Drosophila melanogaster: one gene and its partner. The protein of the gene in region 1 interacts with the protein of each later gene in a pairwise test. Each region holds a gene or a part of one and is shown on either strand. Other genes may lie near its edges.

Region 1 (3,591 bases):
CAAGAGGTCCTGCCGAGTTAATTAAACTTTCCGAGCCGAAGGCTTTCAATGGTCAGATGGAGATGTAATTAAGAGATAAAATGAAACAATGGGCACACACACACATCATCCGAGAATGCCTGTTATGGCCATGCCCCTTCTCAAGATGCCGCCCACCTGGACTTCAGTCTGGCCCACAAACCAAGGGGTCGGAGGTCAGACTATCTCCGCCCCGTGCATTCCGCCCAGAGACTAGCAATCGAGCGGAAAAAAGATATTGAATGGCCAATGAACCGTGGCAGACACTCGTCCGCCTCCCCCACTCCCGATTGGCAGGAAAAATCGCAGATAATCAAGAGCAGCCTGGGAAAAGTCCAGCTGGGAAATTGACAAAGGCGGCTAATGAATAATAACCGCAATCATCGTTTATATGCAGGCATGTAAGAGGAGTCCTATGCTCAGGCAACAGAAGATAGCAATAAAATTTGAGATCGATGCGACTACGATGCTGCTCAGTAGATCATTTGAAGTGTCCTTATTTAAATTCAGATAGGATGCGAATCCGAATGCATTGTATCCTTAAAGATCAGCAAAGAATTAAAAGCCCAAAAGCTGACTTGCCAATTGATCATAACTTGGTTTCATGTGACACAAAATATTTAATGGCCAGTTATGAGTGAGATGTGTGCAGGTTTTTGAGGCTGCTCTCGAGCATTTATCACCAAATTTAATAGGTTTATTAGCCCGTGTCGCTGGTCCCTTTGAGATATATATCCGTTCGTAAACCTGACATAATGCGAATTGGAATCGCTGTCTGGCGGGCACTTTGAGAGGCATTCGAGTTGCCAGCGAGAAAATGTCATAAAAATTAACGTGCCATCGTAAATATCTGGCCATATATGTATATGTTCGCATACGGGGGCAATGTTATATTTAAGTGCAAATATGCGTAAAATTGTTCAAAGGACAGCCCATGCACAGCAGTTACATTTATACATTTTGGCACATTCGAAAAATGGAGCCAAACAAAACGAGAAAATGGCGCGGCAACTGGTTGCTACTCCCTTGTTCCAGATCCCAGCACATATACACATACTCGCATGGTAGGGAAATGGGAAATGGAAAATGGCCTAGGCGCTGACCCCACCCCATTCCCTCCCTCCCACATCCCACCAAATATCCCCATCGAGTTGGCCGCAAGGCAAATCCCTGCAATTACTTTGTTGGCACTTTGTTTTGACTTGCCTTTTGAAGTTCCCATTTTTGGGGCAAGCTCGTATTTCTTTTTTTTTTTTGCCTTTTCGAAAGCTCGCCCTTGGCAGCGGACTATTAGTGTATTTTAATGGCAACTAGAGAGCGAGGGAAAACTACGGAAAACCCTCGTGTGCTGCGTAATGTATGTAAATGTATTTATTTGCCACAAAGTGGGCGAAGCAGAGAAACCTTTGGCAAACGCAAATAAATGTTAATATAATGTTAATATTGTTTACTTCTCCTTCGCCTTCGCCTTGGAGGTGTAACAAAGAAGTGCCCCTTCCCAAGGGCAGGGAAATGGGAAAATGGGAAGTCGAGGAAGTGCTTCTCCGCCTGCGGCAAGTGTTAGGATAAAAAACATGCGTTCCTCGATGGGCCGACAAAAACATGCAAAAATTCATTGAGCCAAAAGCCAGGGAACAAACCAACAGCTGCTCACGATTGCCAGTCTGTTCTGGATGGGATGGGGAAGGCGTTTGGTGTGCGTGGTTATCCCACCCAGAATTCAGGGAATCTGGGAATCAGGGAACAGGACATGTGTAGGCGTGCGGAAATTTAATAAGAACTGGATTTTATGCGCCACGCATACGCAAATAAGCGTTTTGCCCCCCGTCCAAAGGATAATGTGTATTTATGTGTTCCTATTGCGATGTTTGGCCTGCTGTAATCACGCTCCATTGGGCGTCTCTAATTTGGCATTAACACAACCGCTACCCGCCCCCTGGAGCACAAGGCGCCCTTCGACCTCCGGGCCACCCACTCGAGTGACCTTTTGAACTAATGATTTGATTTATCTCCCGGAGGCCGCGCAATTAAATTGCCCCACCTGCGTGGCACACTTTGTGGCGCCACTGTAATGGATTTAGGCGGTGGGCCACACAAATTAGGGTCAAAACTCAAATATTTCTTCATTAGATGGTTTGCTGGAATGGGAAACGCTAGATTTTCTAACATTTAATCAAAGCAGGCAGGTCCTACATACGTTAAAACTTAAATAAACATCAAATCTCAGTACTTTCCTTCTCCTCGTGCGATACGCAGCTAGTTTTTGAGAATTAACAAAAATTCTCAGTGCAAACAAAATTTGAAAAAAAAGTGATAAAACGCGACATTTCTTTGAAGCTGTAGAATTCAGAAATGTCCAGCAAGAAGCGCATAGATTTAAAACCCGCGTCCTTCGAAGACTTGGCCAATCAGGTGTTCGAAAAGTCGAAACAGATGAGTATGTCAATGAAGGAGCAGTGCAAGTTGGTCCAGGAGTATTTGAAAGCTAGGCTCGATGGGAGTGATGGAAGCGATGCAGAATATAATAGTGATTCCTATTCAGATTTTGAATCCGAGTCGGATTCCGATTCCGATTCCGATTTCGAGGAGGATTCCCTTACTGATTCCGATGAGCAAACAGAGGAGAGCAGTGATGAGTCCGAATCGGAACACAGTGAAGTCGAGGAGCGTACCAAACCATCAGATACTCACAAGACTACCAACGGAGGTCTCTGCGAAAAACCAATCTCCAAGGTCGAGCCTGAACAATCTCGGCTCGTGGCCTTTGTGGCTCCTCTCAAGTCCCCTGCCCCCCGCATCCACCGTCGACTGACTATGGCTGGTGGCGTTATAGCTCCTCATAGTCGCAGTAGTGCCTTCTAAATCAAGGAATCATTGTGTAGAATCATTGGTCAAGCTAGGAGCTCGAGGTTTCTCCAATCGATTTTATTGTTTACACATAGTTTGTATTTAAATCATTTTGTAGTACTTTGTAATTAAAAATCATATCGCGACTCATTTTGAAATAAACGTACCACGTTCAGTAGCTACCGTAATGCAATTTCTCCATTTCAACTTAAAAATTGGAAAAAGTAGGTCATATTTAATTTGACATTTTCGGGACAACTTTAATTGGTCGCTTGGGGCTGTAAATCGGAAACTTTTGGGGCGTCAAATATTTGACCTAAGTGTGCTTTCACTTCAACGATAAATTGGGCGATTTTGTCAGCCAAATGTTTTGGGGAAAGTTTGCGGAATAATTTGCAGTTGTTTTTTAGACTATCCTTGACTATCCTCGTTGAACTTTCGGCGGCCATAATTTATGCAAAACATCTAATGAATTTTTCATGCCCAACAGCAGCACACAAACAGCCGCAGTGGCAGGGCAACAACTCTGCGGAAATTAATGAAATTCATAAGCGAGTTCCATTCTCCAGTTTTCCCGGTGCCATCAGCCCAGCCGCTTGCTCCTTTCTTCGATTTCGCCCTGCCCATTAATGAGCGCAAATTAAAAGCTGCCTAAACATTAATGAGAACCAAAGAGCCGAGAAATACTAAGAGACGTGGAAAGTGGGGAAAATGAAGGGCCACGTC
Region 2 (3,923 bases), on another chromosome or scaffold:
CTCGTTCATCCCTATTCTGGTCAACAATGCCGACGTCCAGCAAATGCAGCAACAATGTGAGAAGTTTGGTTGTTAATTTCTTTTGATCGGCAGTTGGCCAGCGTTAAAAGGAGTAGACGTCGTCGGCGTCCTCCTCCTCCCTCCGCCCGCCGACGCGCCTTCAGGTGGTGTCGTTGCCAAGGCCGTTCTTCTGGTCCAGCTTATTCGAGCCCATCTTCACCATGTACACGAAGAATGTGATGATCTCCTTCTCCTTGATGGGTATTGTCTTGAAGTGTTTCATAATTGTCTGCGGGAGAAGAGTAGAGGTTTGCAACTTGATTAAAACAGGGTTTAGAAAACCTTATAAAGGGCATGGCACATTTTTCTGCCTTTTCTTTAGAGTGGAGGCTACTACAAGAGGGCCAACTATGGAGCATCACGGAGCACATTAGACCAGCGTGTTACCCCACTGAAATCCGGCAACAGAAAGTGGACATAGCCTGCTCAATTCGTTAACTAGGTCAAACTTACATCCGCCAGCTGCGCCCGCTTCATGCCCTGCCTCGTTTGGACCTTGAAGTGGCGCTTGTAGCGTCGCAGCGTGCTCACGCCCAGCTGGTAGAGATCGGGGAACTCGTGCAGGTCCGTGTCCGTCTCGTTGCTGTCGTCCTCGCTGTCCTTGCGCCGACGCTTGGTGCGCACCGACTGGATGCGCTCCTTGTGGTGGTCACAGATGTAAATGTGCTGCGCGGCCGGATCGCTGCTGAGCTTGAGCCGCTTTTGGGCCACCGTCTTCTGGATGCGCTTGGAGTAGCTGGCGTAGCCAGCCTGGTTGCGACACCGCTCCATGTCGTCGATTAGGCAGCACGTTTGGTCCGTGTGCCCGCGACTGTCCTCCTCGCCGGTGCTGAATCCGTTGTTCATCCTGTTCCCGATCCTGGCCGATTGCTTTCGAGTTCCTATCCAATCCCCCTTCCTGCTCTGCTTGCTGCTTCTCTGATTTTCTCCGTTTCGCTCCTTTGTCTCCTCTTTCGTCTTTCTCACTTTCGACTATTGCTTTGCTTTGTTTCTCTTTGCAAGAAAAAAATTTTCTTTCGACAGCGCGATGTGACCAAACTGGGAAATGGGGAAATTCCTCCGCAGCTGGCAAGAGCGGACAATTTGAAACTGTTTGCAGTTTCTCAAATATCTTAAATATCAAGTGCATTTTTTTCCAGATTATCGATCAATATTTTTTAATTGGTATTAATAATCGCACAAAATATTAATTAAATAAATATTAGTTAATTTCAGTACTTAAATTTAAAAATACCGTGTACCAAAATATAGTTACCTTTTCCAGCATTGATTCCAATTCCGATAGGTACCGCACACCGGTACGATAGTTGAGCCAATTACCGTTTTTGTCATCACTAGCTCACGTTAGTGCAATGAAATTTGAATTTCCTTTTTCTCAGGCGTATCTGACTGCTTGTCTATATAGAATATTATTATACTCGTCTTCAGACCAATTCTTGATTGTAGTTTCTGAGACGGGGGACTAACAAGCATATATTTGTTAAATGCATCGACGCAAGGAATTTTCACCGTAGTGAGTTGGAGAATTAAACAGAATCATTCAAAAAGACTGGGAAAAGGAATACGCAGAATTTTCTGCAAATAAACAACGGGGTTACTGCAAACTTTTCCCAGGCACATTAAAAAAAATCTTAGCTATAACGTATGTGACAATTATATTTTGAATAAATGAATAATAATGTGACCAATGTAACGTTTTCGATAACGTATCGTACATCTTATTCAGTTGTTGCAGTACAACACTGCTAGGCAGCAATTTCCAGCCCTGGAAAAATACCAAAAAATCTACCATCTCTCCAAAAACGAAATCATAAACGCTTACCAGGGACATCATCGATTTTCTACACCAAATTAAAAGAAACCTATAAGTTATAGATTTGCTACACCAAATTGAAATAAAATCAATCTCTTCAACCTTAAGTCCTTGGCTATTTCCACGTACACGAGTGTGGCCAAATAATTCCACGACATTTGCGGATGTCGCGGTAACCTAAAACACAAAAAAAAAAGAGATTGCAATATTTCGGAGATAAAAACCCTCAAAAATGCCGCCTGGAACGCAAATTGCCAGCGACAGCGATATGGAGACCGCTCTGGAGGAGTTCAAGCAGCGCCAGGGACGCCGCAACAGCATCGGCTCGGCCAAGTACGCGTGCAGCATGCCCAAATGCGAGGCCACATTCAAGCGGCTGGACCAATTGGATCGCCATGAGTATCATCACACAGGGATTGTGAGTATAGTTAGAGTATGTTAAGTGTAAGCCAGTAGTAACGCCGCCACCACTTTGCAGAAGAAGCACGCCTGCTCGTACGAGGGTTGCGACAAGACGTACTCGATTGTGACGCACTTAAAGAGGCATCTGCGCAGCACCCACGAGCGTCCGGAGTCGGCGGCCAAGAAGACGGTGAAGTGCGCGCTGGAGGAGTGCAGCAAGATGTTCATCTCGGTTAGCAACATGACCCGCCACATGCGCGAAACCCACGAGAGCCCAAAGGTCTATCCGTGCAGCCAGTGCAGTGCCAAATTCTCGCAAAAGCTCAAGCTGAAGCGCCACGAGATCAGGGAGCACACGCTGGAGTATCCGTACAGCTGCTCGAAGTGCTCGCGCGGCTTCTACCAGCAGTGGCAGTGCCAGAGTCACGAGCCCAGCTGCAAGCTGTACGAGTGTCCCGGCTGCCCGCTGCAGTTCGACAAATGGACGTTGTATACGAAGCATTGTCGCGACTCGTTGCACGGCAAGAATCGCCATAAGTGCGACCGCTGCGATAGTGCCTTCGACAAGCCGAGCGAACTGAAGCGTCACCTCGAGGTGAAGCACAAGGAGGCGGCGCAGACGGATGAGTGCGCCACCTCCTTCACCTGCAACGAGGAGGGATGCGGCAAGAGTTACTCGTACCTCAGGAATCTACGCCAGCACATGCTCACCGCCCACTCGGGCAGGCGTTTCGAGTGCCAGGCCTTGGACTGCGGCCGCTGTTTCAGCAGTGCGCAGAATCTGGCGAGACATCTGCTCAGGGATCACAAAGATGGTGCGACGAAAAAGGAATTGAAAGCCAAGAAGAAGGACAAGAGTAAGACTGGAGAAGGGGGCAAAACTAAGTCCACATCCCGCAAGCGACGACGCGATGCTGGACGCAGCAAACATTCGAGGCTATCCAAACTGGCCTGCCTGCAATTGGACAAGGAAGATGATGAGGCGGTGCGCGAGCGACAGCCTTTGGTCCTCGAAAAGATCACCCAGTCGCTGAAGGATGACCCCGTCGAGGAGCTGCTGGCACAGACCCTGCAGGATGAAGAGGAAAAGGAGCAGGAGTAGAGCAAAAGGCCATTCAAAGGGACGGGAGTGAGAAGGTCTGGTCAAGAGGCTAACAATTGAATGACTACTTTAATTTAAACCACAACTTCTAAAAGAGAAACAACTAATTTATCAGTAAATACTTAGGATTTGCGTTCAGAAACATCCGAAATTGCATTAATTTGCATAAATTAGTAAGCTATTATTAGTAGTATTCGCCTGGAGCGAATTAGTTTATTTACTTTAAGCTTACAGTTGCAAACATTCCCTGACTTCAACTAGAGTTCCGAAACTCTCGGGCATCCAGAGAGAAAACCAATAATATCCATTGTGTATATACGCGCAAAACTAAATAAAATAAACTCCTCTAAGTAAAAATAAGAACAATATGAACCTCTGACATAGTTCTTTTGTCTGTTTCTATTTTATTAAACAATCTTCTAAAACCAAAAAAAATGCTTAATGCGCGTGGACGCGATGGCGATGGAGGACTGCAGGAGTGCGGATCGATTGCATACGAGTGCCAATTCAGGTGGCTACAGCGAGTTGATGATCTTCCGGCTTCGC

What was found.
Region 2: the proteins of CG4375 (region 1) and CG9609 interact in a two-hybrid assay, tested with the Drosophila melanogaster proteins (one large-scale study listed by BioGRID).

What each region holds. Positions count from the first base shown.
Region 1 is NT_033779.5:1,025,565-1,029,155, reverse strand, and holds CG4375 (uncharacterized protein), read left to right. Parts: upstream 1-2,258; 5' UTR 2,259-2,370; coding exon 2,371-2,880; 3' UTR 2,881-3,051; downstream 3,052-3,591.
Region 2 is NC_004354.4:16,784,933-16,788,855, reverse strand, and holds CG9609 (uncharacterized protein), read left to right. Parts: upstream 1-1,847; 5' UTR 1,848-2,105; coding exon 2,106-2,291; intron 2,292-2,351; coding exon 2,352-3,377; 3' UTR 3,378-3,741; downstream 3,742-3,923. Other genes in the region: Sap30 (SIN3-associated polypeptide 30), read right to left, coding at 161-289, 514-906; mRpL22 (mitochondrial ribosomal protein L22), read right to left, coding at 3,893-3,923.